2 linked regions of the Drosophila melanogaster genome follow. The protein of the gene in region 1 interacts with the protein of each later gene in a pairwise test. Each region holds a gene or a part of one and is shown in the gene's direction. Other genes may lie near its edges. The genes, in order: Ald1 and CG14718.

The links.
Region 2: the proteins of Ald1 (region 1) and CG14718 interact in a two-hybrid assay, tested with the Drosophila melanogaster proteins (one large-scale study listed by BioGRID).

Annotation. Positions count from the first base shown.
Region 1 is NT_033777.3:26,255,530-26,263,326, reverse strand, and holds Ald1 (aldolase 1), read left to right. Parts: upstream 1-1,735; 5' UTR 1,736-1,991; exon of another isoform or gene 1,992-2,173; intron 2,174-2,213; exon of another isoform or gene 2,214-2,425; intron 2,426-3,491; exon of another isoform or gene 3,492-3,525; intron 3,526-4,113; exon of another isoform or gene 4,114-4,340; intron 4,341-5,047; exon of another isoform or gene 5,048-5,285; 5' UTR 5,286-5,306; coding exon 5,307-6,102; intron 6,103-6,194; coding exon 6,195-6,394; intron 6,395-6,703; coding exon of another isoform or gene 6,704-6,799; exon of another isoform or gene 6,800-6,853; intron 6,854-7,019; coding exon 7,020-7,115; 3' UTR 7,116-7,361; downstream 7,362-7,797. UniProt on the Drosophila melanogaster protein: Enzyme of the glycolytic pathway. Glycolysis is essential in glial cells but not in neurons; neurons rely on the citric acid cycle for their energy needs, and on lactate and alanine secreted into the hemolymph by glial cells to fuel it.
Region 2 is NT_033777.3:11,698,975-11,703,437, forward strand, and holds CG14718 (uncharacterized protein), read left to right. Parts: upstream 1-1,639; 5' UTR 1,640-1,771; coding exon 1,772-3,112; 3' UTR 3,113-3,746; downstream 3,747-4,463.

The DNA of each region.
Region 1 (7,797 bases):
AAAACTATTTTGCATTCTTTGTTGCACACATTCTTTTGGTTTTCGTGAACTCTTATAAGAAGAAAAATGGAATTTAAGAAAAAACTATTTCAAATGTCCTTTAACAAAAAGACTAGATAAATAGAAATATAGTATAACCTAACTATAGTTGATCAAAAACTTTTCTAGCTATTTTGCCCTAATCTTTAATCTTGCCATTTATTGTAAAGCAAAAAAAAGGGTTCCATCAATATTAGTTTTAGAAATGAACATTTTTCTGTAGTTTTTTGAAAGATACTTTATAATCTGATCTACATCAACTTTTAATGAGTATACCAAATCGAACCAAATCGTTTCTTACCAAAACTGGGAAAACAATTTATCATTCTTCTGAACCACAAATTCACTCCTCTTTTTCGTATCTCCTCTTTAATTTAATATGAGTTAAAACACAGCTGGTGCTTGAATTTCAGACTCTTATGCACTCCACTTTCGGTTCACATAACTAGAATAATCAGAAATTATTTCGCTTTGGCTGCACCACAGTACGTAGCGTATACGCCGCGGTGTACGCGGGTGTGCGAAGGAGACGCGCAGCGCAAGTGGAACGCAACACGTGTTGGGCGACAGGTGCCGAGCGTTTGGCACACAACTCGACCGACCGACGCACGAATTCGAACTGAAAACTGAACCAGAATCCCCAAACGAAAATGGGAAGCGAGTGAGGCAGGCACGAGAACCGAAACAGGACGAAGGACGAAGCCACGAGGCACAAAGAGAGCGAGGACAATGAAGAGCACTGTGGCTAAGGTTCCTTCATTAGGTAAGCATATTATTTCATATATATCTAGCAACTGTATCACTTTAACTAAAGAAACCTAAGCATAGATAGTCTATGAAATATCTAAAATCCTTTAAATGTTATAACCCGTTCCACAGTCATTCTTTTCATTCAGAAAACTGTGCCAAAGTCATATTAGGACATTTTAAAGAGCGAAACGATTTTCTCTTTCGCTCGAACAGATTGTATGGCAGAATAGGGGGATATTTTCTCAAAGTTTGCGCTCTCAATCAGCTGTTTCCAGTGCCAGGGGGTTGAGTCCTTTAACATTGCAGGAGGTCAGGCATGGCGTGAAAGTCGCTTATCCTAGCTGCTGCTTCTGGCACCCCTCGTTTTTGTTGCGCTGCCGCTGGAGCGCCTGATGCTGATGGTCACGAAAAATTCATTGACCGCCCCAAGTAAAGCAGGTCGCTCGTAATTAAGGTTAAAATACACCAAATTAATTATTCTACCCTCTTTTCAATGCATAAGTAGAATAGGAAATGTTGTTGACAGGTTAAAAGATACAAATACTTGCAAAGATAACACTTCATTTTTAATGCTTTTTTATAGTTTTGGGCAAGAAAGCTTGGCAAGACATATAGTTCACTTGATGAGGATGATTTGGGATGACTATATCCAGCAAGACGCGACATTAAGTTTGTGGCACTTTATTGTTTTTAACATTTCAATACTATTTCAATATATATCGTATAGTGTTTGAGATCTTAAGATAAATTATTTATTATGTTAATACGCTTTGAGCACATTTCATTTAAATTTTTACCGCCCAAACGAAAGCTAAAGCTTCTCAAAGCTGTCTAATAAGTTTTACAGCTTATCTGTTAGGTTCCATCCCCCACTAAAAGCTCCCAGAATGAGCTTTATTTTGGATACCTTTCGTTTGGGGATCTGGGAATTTAAAGCGCTTGGCTCAGTCGGTTGCCCAACACCGTCGGCGACGACCTCCAAACAACCTTTTGGGGTCTCGCTCGGCATGTCTCGCTTATTTCGCTTTGGAATTTCACGTTGACGCCGCAGTCAGCGGTAGCAGAGGCATCGGCAGCGGCAGTAGCAGCGACACGGGCCGAAAATAAAAGCGTTAACCGCTCTCCTCCAGTGCAGCAGCAGCAGCGGACCCAGCCAGTAGCCAGCAGCTAATCACCACATCCCAGATTCAGTTTCCAGTTCGGTGAGTGGGCGTCATACGCAGTGAACAGAACCCCTGAGCCCCTTAAAAAAAATTCAGATATTTTTCCCCCCATTGGCGGCAGTGCAGTTGAAAAGTCGCGTAATCGTTCCCATTTCTCTGGGTGTTTCGTAATCCAAATCTACAGAGCAGCAGCGAATCTGTAGGCGTGTTAGTGTTAGTGAGTGCGTATTCGAATATAGTTTAATTATTCTCTAATCTTACCATTTCCGCGTGCTCGCCACTTTTATGACAAGTTCTAGAACCTCGAGGCTCTCGAGTGTTGTTGACCTATGCACCGCGGTTGAAGGAGTGGGGGGGCTACGCGAACTGCAGGCGATAAGAAGCCTTATCGGGTGACTTTTGGCTCACTTTCGTGAGTAGTAGTTTTCTCTACCGGCTCAACCGGCTCTCTTACTTTTCATCCGCTCTTTCATTCGAGTTCATTTGCTTGTTGGCAGGCTTTCAACTGCAATTTGTAGTCGCCGCTGCGGTTTTTCTTTATAAATAGTTGGCGCAAATGTTAAATGTATGTACTATACATCGCGATATACATATGTATACTTTCCCATCGCTCTCTCGCTTAGACTTCAATTAGCCAACGTCATCGTAAATTCATCAGATTGTTGACGTCTTCTCATGATAGACGCAATATGCTTTTGTCTATTGCATTTTATACCTACCATTTAATTGAGATTTCAGTGAATGAAGGAGAGCAAACATTTTACCGATAGTTTGTAGAGAGTACATGAGAAAAGAGGGGCAGAAGTTTAAGGGTTGTTTTGAAACCTACAGAAAACAAGTTTTGGTACTCCAAAGGACTTCCTTTCAAGATCAACCTGATTAGGATTTTTAAGAAGAGTTTTGAACATTTAAAACAACCAATTTATGTTCCTTTGATCGTTTATATCAAGCTTTGGGAAATTTTATAATGAATATAATGGAATTATAGGTATACATTCTCATTGTAAAGTATAAGCTAATCGATGAAATAAGACTAGATAAGGTACATTGGCTTATCTAGTAAACAGTTACCACAACAAAGTTTTTGGGGTCACATAATAAGGGCATAGATAGAAGTATGGGAGTGCTCGAAGTTTCCTATTTTCAGACAAGTATACAATTATTACCACCCATGTTTACGGCTAATCAGTTGACGTCAGTTCGTAGTAGTAGTAGTAGTATTATCTCAACTGTTGGATGTTCTTTTGACCCACTGTCTGCGTTCAAGGAGGCCGGACCTAAAATCTCGTTATGATAATGCAAAACCTTTGGAACTAAAACGCAACTGGGGGCTCGTTTTTTCGTCGTTTTCGATTCAAAATTTTCACTGATAGCAAGCTCACGAATACATATAGACGGACATGTGGCGGTTTATTTTTATAAACGGTCTCTTGATAGGAACGTAAATTTATTTTGATTGTTTTTTGTTGTCATGCGTTGGCTGCTCTTCGTTCCTCTTTCTTTTTTGTCATCGTATATATTTCGCCTAGTTTTCGAAACATTTCAGTCTTCGATTGATTGCCGGCAAGTGTAGGTGGGTGTTGTCTGCTGAGTGAATCCGCAACATCTATAGATAATTCTATAGATAAGGGTGTACATACATATCTAGTGTCGTTCTGTGAAGTGTGTTTAGATAACTGTTTAGAAATTAATAGATGAAAAAATGATTTGTATTCTAGAGATATATTAATATATTCTTAAACTGTGCAGTATTTTTAATATATGCATATATCAAGCTTTTATAATATCTATCTGTTCTTAGGAACCACAAGCTATTCACGCGTGTACAAAGTGTTAAATATATGGCGTGGGAAATGTGGGGTCGATGTGGTAAACAATATTTCGCGATAAGTTGCGGAGGTCTAATCTCTTAACCTGACATTTATGCCATTCCCAGTCCTTGGCTCACTGTCAATGTCAAACAAGTATAAAATGGGTTTTTAGTCATCGCAGATGACTTCGTATCTGTATCTACATATTGCTGGACACTAGCTATCTCTATCGCACTTCACACGCGCCACACGACTTTCGGTTTTCAACAATTTCTATTCGCATTTCGTAAGCAACAAATTTCGCTGGCAACATTTGTTGCTAAGGCTTGTTGCTTGACCTTGTTCAATGTCAAGCGAAAATTCATGCGCCCTGCGTTGGCGTCGCTGCCTGCAGGAACAGCGCAGCAGCAGCGGCAATAAAAGTGAAAGTTACCACGTCACGCATTATGCGGGTGTGAAGAAGACAGCTGCATTCGGTTAGAGTGAGACACAAGATTCCATGACTTTGATTACATCAGAGGGAATTATTGCCGAGGTTTCCGTGACTTTGCTCAGTTACAAAAACATCATCGTCGAGGTTGGTTCGGATTTTTCTTTGTGATCTAAGCTTAAAACAATTGTTCGGTTTTTGCAAATAGTTTTTAGCAAATTACAGACACTATAAAATAAGACACTATATAATATTTCATTCCAAAAAGTGCAGTGATACTTTTCCAACTTTGTATAGTACAATCCAAGAGGATTTTTCTAAAATGTGAATTTTCATTGATGTTTGTGAGAACCTCTAAAAAAGCTCTATTAAAAGGCAACATTTTATATGTGAATGTTGAGAGTGTAGGACAAACCTAGAAAAAAAAAAATGTGAGAGAGAGAGAGCGAAGAGCTGCAGATATAGAGAAAAGCACGTTTTCCGTGCATGCGCCTTTAATCTCATTCAATCACCCGCTCTTTGCCATCGAATCAGCTGTGAAATACACTACCATGCAAAGCATTTATTATCTTCAATGGAAAAATATTTTTAAATTGGAAAAAACACCAGTGACATTGACCTGACACTGAAAACAAAATTATATAATACCGCATCATTAAACAACAGCATATGACTCAATGGCTCTAATCGGTTAACTCAGAGTTCCACTTTAAATAACTTGACCTTTACAAATATTCTTTTTATTTTATGGAAATAATAATTAGGTCAGTTCAGTAAAATAATCCAACACTTGATTGATAGCTATCTCTGTAGCCGTTGTTATCTTTTTCAGTAGGAACATATGTAACTTTGAGTTACTTGATTTTGGTTGTCAGACTGTGCGGATCGTATACGAAATTTTAGTCCAAATTTTTAGTTTTATTTTTTACCTCGAAATATTTCAAAATTCTGTGCTTACGCAATGGTTTCCAATCATCCGCGCCGCTGCGGAATTCGATAGCTAGCTTATTAAAACACAATGTCCGCTACTCTTTTTCATCCAACAAAATAACACCACACCAAATCAAACGTAAATGGATCTTCGTGCTGCAGAACTACACTCGAATCTCAAAAATGACGACCTACTTCAACTACCCCAGCAAGGAGCTGCAGGATGAGCTGCGCGAAATCGCCCAGAAAATCGTTGCCCCCGGCAAGGGAATCCTCGCCGCCGATGAGTCCGGCCCAACCATGGGCAAGCGTCTGCAGGACATCGGCGTGGAGAACACCGAGGACAACCGCCGTGCCTACCGTCAGCTGTTGTTCAGCACTGACCCCAAGCTGGCCGAGAACATCTCTGGAGTGATCCTGTTCCACGAGACCCTCTACCAGAAGGCCGATGATGGCACCCCCTTCGCCGAGATCCTGAAGAAGAAGGGAATCATTCTGGGCATCAAGGTCGACAAGGGTGTTGTCCCACTGTTCGGCTCTGAGGATGAGGTCACCACCCAGGGTCTGGATGACCTGGCCGCCCGTTGCGCCCAGTACAAGAAGGACGGTTGCGACTTCGCCAAGTGGCGTTGCGTCCTGAAGATCGGCAAGAACACCCCATCCTACCAGTCGATCCTGGAGAACGCCAATGTCCTGGCCCGCTACGCCTCCATCTGCCAGTCGCAGCGCATCGTCCCAATTGTGGAGCCCGAGGTTCTGCCCGATGGCGATCACGATCTGGACCGCGCCCAGAAGGTCACCGAGACCGTCCTGGCCGCCGTCTACAAGGCCCTGAGCGACCACCACGTCTACCTGGAGGGTACTCTGCTGAAGCCCAACATGGTCACCGCCGGTCAGTCGGCCAAGAAGAACACCCCCGAGGAGATCGCCCTGGCCACCGTGCAGGCTCTGCGCCGCACCGTTCCCGCCGCCGTTACTGGTGAGTCATCAAATCCAACTGTAATCTCTGGATTGGAATGCATTCACCTTGTTTTTGCAATGAATCCTATCTAATCGATTGTTTGTCTACAGGCGTGACCTTCCTGTCTGGAGGTCAGTCCGAGGAGGAGGCCACCGTCAACCTGAGTGCCATCAACAACGTTCCCTTGATCCGCCCATGGGCCCTCACCTTCTCGTACGGTCGTGCCCTGCAGGCCTCCGTCCTGCGTGCCTGGGCTGGCAAGAAGGAGAACATTGCTGCCGGCCAGAACGAGCTGCTTAAGCGCGCCAAGGTGAGTCCTTGGATAGTTGTATCTATGCACGATTGATTGCAGTTAGCAATTTAAGTGGTGAATGTATTAAGAGTGTCAGGTATATGCTTCGGAAGTATTCCTTGGGCTAAGAAATATTATACATGTATAATATAACATACAGCATATTCCCAGCCATTGATTCCATTTCCAATCCCAAATGACCACAATGTTCTTCTAATCCTCTAATCTTATCCCTTTCATTTCCCTACCATTATTTGTAACCTTTTTTTGCTTTTGTACGTGAGACATTAATTTCATCATCAATAACCACACATTAATCATGCCTAGGCTAACGGAGAGGCGGCTTGTGGTAACTATACAGCTGGATCGGTTAAGGGGTTCGCTGGAAAAGATACTTTGCATGTGGATGACCACAGGTATTGATCAAAGGATTGAAGAATTGCTGCCTTAAGATGGCGATGAACAAGCTTTCATGGGGTAACTTAAGAATCATAGCCGCCTTTCACCAAATCCGACTTATCGCAAACGCCTTTAACATACTGTCCTCGTGCCACTCATGCTTCGCTTGCTCTAAACCTAATCCACAAAAGCCCAAAATCTGATTAATCCCAACCAAAATCCCGCTCTCCTCCCGCTTCCACAGGCCAATTCCCAGGCCTGTCAGGGTATTTACGTGCCCGGCTCAATTCCGTCGTTTGCCGGCAATGCCAACCTCTTTGTCGCCCAGCACAAATACTAAGTCCTAAATGCCACGCACTAATCCCGAGTCACAATCGAGCGAAGCTATATCCCAAGCCGAATCCAGATAATCCGCAAGAGTTACTGATCGAGGCCCAGCTGGAGTGAGACGGGCAACATTTATATTCCTCCAACAATGGAACTGCAAATATATTCCTTTTATACATTTTTACATTTTACCGAATAAACTGACTAGACCTTAAAGAAAATATTTTTGGCGAACAGAAATAAATTATATATTTCTAATAATACCTTGCTTATGATTTTGTTTACTTTAGTTAGCTTTAAACAAAAATTCGATTTTATTTTACCTTTTAATTTAATTTAAATACATTTTAATTAAAAATGTCTTGTCTAACTTTATTCATGAAAGCCCTTTGCAAACTTCCTACTGTTAATTAGAATAATAATTCGGAATATCTGTACCTGACAGTTAAGTTGAAAACAACGTAAAATTCGTTCGGAGAGCTGTTACATATATTTAATCGAATCATAATTTTCCTCCAAAGAACTTGCAAGATTAAATTTTCCAAAACTTTCCGCAGTACGCAGCATGTATTCGTGCGCTTGGATGCGTGGAAAGTTTTTAGAAAATTGCCGCAGGTGGAAAAAGTGGCGGAAGTTCTTCGAGCGCAGCAAAAATCAGTGTGAAAACTTTTTCATGCTGGCCGAAAAACTTTTTT
Region 2 (4,463 bases), about 15 Mb from region 1:
CTGAGCTGTGCTGCGTGTTTACTCTGCTCCAGCAGGCAGCCAATTCATTAGCTGTTCCTACTTCGCCTTTGCTGCAAATGGAAGGAAAGACAACATGAATGCTGCACACAGTGCGTGTGCACCGAGAGATGCTGATGAAGAGTCATCCCTTTTGGCCACACCATAGAATAACCGAACGCAGCGTAGTCATACATATACCAGCTTATATTCCGGGCCAATTGCTTTGCTGCGCTTTTGTCTTTTCAATTACGGACGAGCTTCAAAGTCAAACTTTTGTGCAATTATACTGGAAGACAATTTGCCCTGTCTCGATTTTTATGAGCGCACAAAAAGTTTTCCACCAACGGAATAGGAACTTTTCCCCGGCAACAGTTTCCATTTCGCTGTTGTTTTCCCTTCAAGACAGTTGATTTTTAATTTCGTGTCGGCGGTTCCCAGCTTCATTACTTCATTTCAACGGGGGAAATATTTGACGGGTTAAAGCAAAACTTTGCCGCTCTGAAGTAAAGCTGCTGCTGTTGAAGATGCTGACCCTCCTCCTTTCTTGGAAATGGACACCACAGCAGCGGGGGCTGCTAATGAAACAGGAGCTTCCGTACAGGACACCGGATCCGAGAACCCGGAATCTGATGATAAGGTCAGCGGACTTGGTCGTAAAGAGGCGGCGGCCATAAAAGCCAATTGCTGGTGAAAATGTTGTTTCCTTTTTTTTTCCCCCGAACCGAGCTGGCGACAAACGTGGCACTTTCGTTTATCAGGGTGGCCGGCCTTGAGTTCGGGTTCGGGATATTAATAAACATGTCTTCAGAGTCCACGCTCCGTTGGCAGGACATTATTCTTGACTGCCCTCCAATTCGGGATCCTTTGTGGGGTTAATGTGGTCGCTCATTAGTGGGGTAATTGGCAGCTAATTGGCTTGATGAGTACCAGTCATCTTGATTCATCGTGATTGGCCCGGCCATGGATGAGTCTTGTCTTCGAAAAATATGAACTTAAGTTTCAGATTCCTATGGGAGTTCTACTCGAAGCTTTTAAATTGATATCAGGTACTTTTCTGCGCCATCTCACGCTGCGAAAATGTAATCAAAGTTTGCTGATTAAAGTGAAAATGTGCAGAAATTATGAATCAATTTTCCGAAGACGACGACAAGCGAAGTGCAAAGTCATCAGTGAGCTGCGAAAGTGGCATCCAGAGTTTTAGCCGCCAATCACGGAAATTTGCATAGTTCTTCGCGCTTTTAACTATGGACTACGGATGGAAAAACCAGGTCAAATCCCTTGAAAGGTGTGGACGTAAAAGTGCCAGCCATTTCGATGTCCATATTGCATTTTTACTTTGGCTATTAATACATTTTCACTCAGTAAATTCCACATTATTGAATTAAATTAATCCTGCCGCTGTCGATTTTATTTTAAATATATTCATTGGCAACAAACGGTTGATATGTTGGTTTTTGTGTGCAGCAATGATATTATTAATACTTCGGATTATATTGTTTTGATGTGGATAAACACATCACCAACATTTTTTCGAGTCAAAAGTAATGAAATTAAATTGGCTTGCCATTTGATTGAATTGGAAAAATATGGCTGCCAAGTAGGCTACAACACAATCTATCAAAGAAACTTAGATCCGGAACTCAGTTCATTTTTATACTCCTAGTGTCTGGATGTTATCAAAGATTTCAGTAGTTTTTAAAGGAATCGGTTCGTGTTTGATCAGCAGTAAAGGCCACACAACGAGGAGTTTTACGTATATTTTTTACCAACCATGGATAGCACGTCAGCCAGCGTAGTGTATACGAATTCTTTTTACGCTCCAAATTACTCGGACACCCAGCAGCCACAGCCACAGCTGCAGACTCAGCAACAGATGTTCCATGCCAACTACATCGTCGGAACCACATTGGGTTCTGGATTGGGATTTAATTTTGCACCAGCCCCCATTCCCCAGGCGAGTGCCGCTTCCGGTTTGAGTCCCAGAGGCATGTACAGTGATCTCTACCGCTACGAGGATGGAAGCGGCGATGCCAGCGGTTCCTTGCTTCTGGTCCAAGAGGATGACCACTTCTGTGGTGCAGAGGCGGACCAGCAGTTGGTGGCCAGCACGTCGTCCTCATGCCCGATGGCGAGTTCAGGCGAGTCCGTGAGCATTGACACAGAGCAGGAGGCGGAACGGGATCTTCAGATGAACCAATGTGAGACGCTGGAGCGGGAAGAGCTGAATGGAGATATAGGGGAAATGGGGGAAATGGAGGAGCTTGCAGAGGAGGTTAATGGCGAGCAGAGGCCGCCGCTGTTACCCTGCATGGGTGGCAACACATCCTACATGGTGTTCCCGCGCACCGCCGCCGACTACATGCCCCGCCTGGCGCTCCCGCGGCATAGGCCCTATATAAGCATCGGTCAGGAGCAGTACGTGATCCAGGCGGAAACTGTCTTCGTGCTGGGCATGCGCCTCAATGTGACCAAGAACGACATCATCCTGTTCTTCGGCAAAGTGGGCGTTATCAAGATGGACGAGTCGACCAACAAGCCGAAGATCTTCGTCTACAAGAACAAGATAACGGGGCGCTCCAAGGGTGAGGCCACTATAACCTATGTGAGTCCATTCTCTGCACAGGCGGCGATTAGTTGTCTGAGTGGGGCCAAGTTCATGGGACAGGTGATCACCGTTCTGCCCGCCTACCTATCCACCCGGAGGGGCAGTGTCCGGTACAGTTATCCGCGAGAGCTTAATGCGCCGGAGCACCAACGTCGCCAGCGGGCAATGAAATGGAAGCCAGCCATCGACAATTGGGTGTGCATGCTCTGCCGGAACAGCAACTTCGTCTGGCGTTCCAGCTGCAACAGATGCCAGGCGGACAAGGTGGTCGCTCCTCAGAATAACGAGGGAAGTTCCTGGGCGGGATCACGCGAAGAGGACGGTGCCCCTCGTCGTTGGCGGCCATACAGGAACGACTGGCTGTGCAAGATTTGCTATAATATGAATTTCTGGTACCGAGCGAAGTGCAATCGTTGCCACGCCCTGCGTTCCGATGAAATGAAGAGCTCCGAGTCGACGGAGGAAGATACCTGGGAGCTGGTTCTGAATCCGCCCATTGCAGAGTAGAAACAGTCCAGTCCACCTCGTTCTGTCTGTGTCTGTGTCTGTATCTATACGTGTTATCTGTTTTGTGTATCCGCATCTTTTTGTACGAAGGACACTTCTGCCTTCTGCATCCTGCTCCTTCCGGACTTCTAAAAATTTCAAGTGATTGGAACGCGAACTGCGTCGTGATATCCAGATGCAACTTCAATTGAATTGAATCGATTCGATGCGATGCCCATGAGCTTGTGAGCCCCATCCAAGAACAGCAAGAGCCAAGAACAAAAGACACCTAAATTCCTGTTAATGCCCGTCTTAGAAAAAGGCGTTTGAATGCAATGCCGCCACCATATACCCGCCGAACCAGTCTTTGTCCCCAGAGCAGAGATCCTCAGATTGCGGGACAATGCAACTTGCTGAATGGTAATCCACTTAATCCGGGTAACTGAATATTTTACCCAGGCACAAAAGGCAACCGGACCCACCTGGCCAGCTCTAAACGTTTAATGAATTTATTTACTTTCCCGACGCGTGCAGTCAGTGGCTCAGTGGCTCATTGGCTCTGCGGAACTGCACTGTAAATCGAAATATTATATTCAATGAAGTCTAAATTGTTTAATAAAATTAATCTTCTATTCATTTATTTATAGAAAGGGTGAACTCGTGGCTTTAAACTATCACAATGAAATTTCAAAATTTCTGAATCCCCCACAGCAAATCCTTGACTCAGATTGTTTTCTGTGTGCAGTGGCATCAAGCCACTTGAATCCATGTCCCACAAGTCGCTCGCCAGCCCCATCCTCCTACTCCTCCTTTCTATCTACCTCGTCCTTTTCTGTCATGTGATTTAATCAAACTTTGCGTCAGCCGAATCTGTGCCACAACAGCTTGGCTGGTTGGTAGATGGTGCGGCTGGTGAGTTGCTCTTTTGGCTGCACCCGCAGTTGCGGCTGCCCTCGTCTGCCGCATGCCACGCCCCCCTGCTCCATTCACCAGTTCACCAGAGGCGGCGCCTGGCAGACTTTGTGTTGTGCATTTACTTTGCACTTTCTTCCACGCGAGCGGACAAGGCACCTGGTGGGAGCTGTGGAGTGTGGAGTCCGGAGTCCGGAGTCCATCGTCCCTAGTCCATAGTCCATAGTCGGTTGTGCTTGGTCTGCCGCCTGCGGGGTATTTGCGTAGCTGCAGGTGTTGCTCCGTCTGCTGCTGCCCAACCAGCCCAGCCCAGCCTGGTAAACCACCAAACCCGCCCACAGTGTCGCCGATTTAAGTGGCAGCCATGGAGTAAATGCAATAAACACCATTAGCTGCAACGACTCCGTTGGTCGTCACTTGTTGGTCGTTGGTCGTCGTCGCTCCGTGCGCGTTTCTCGCC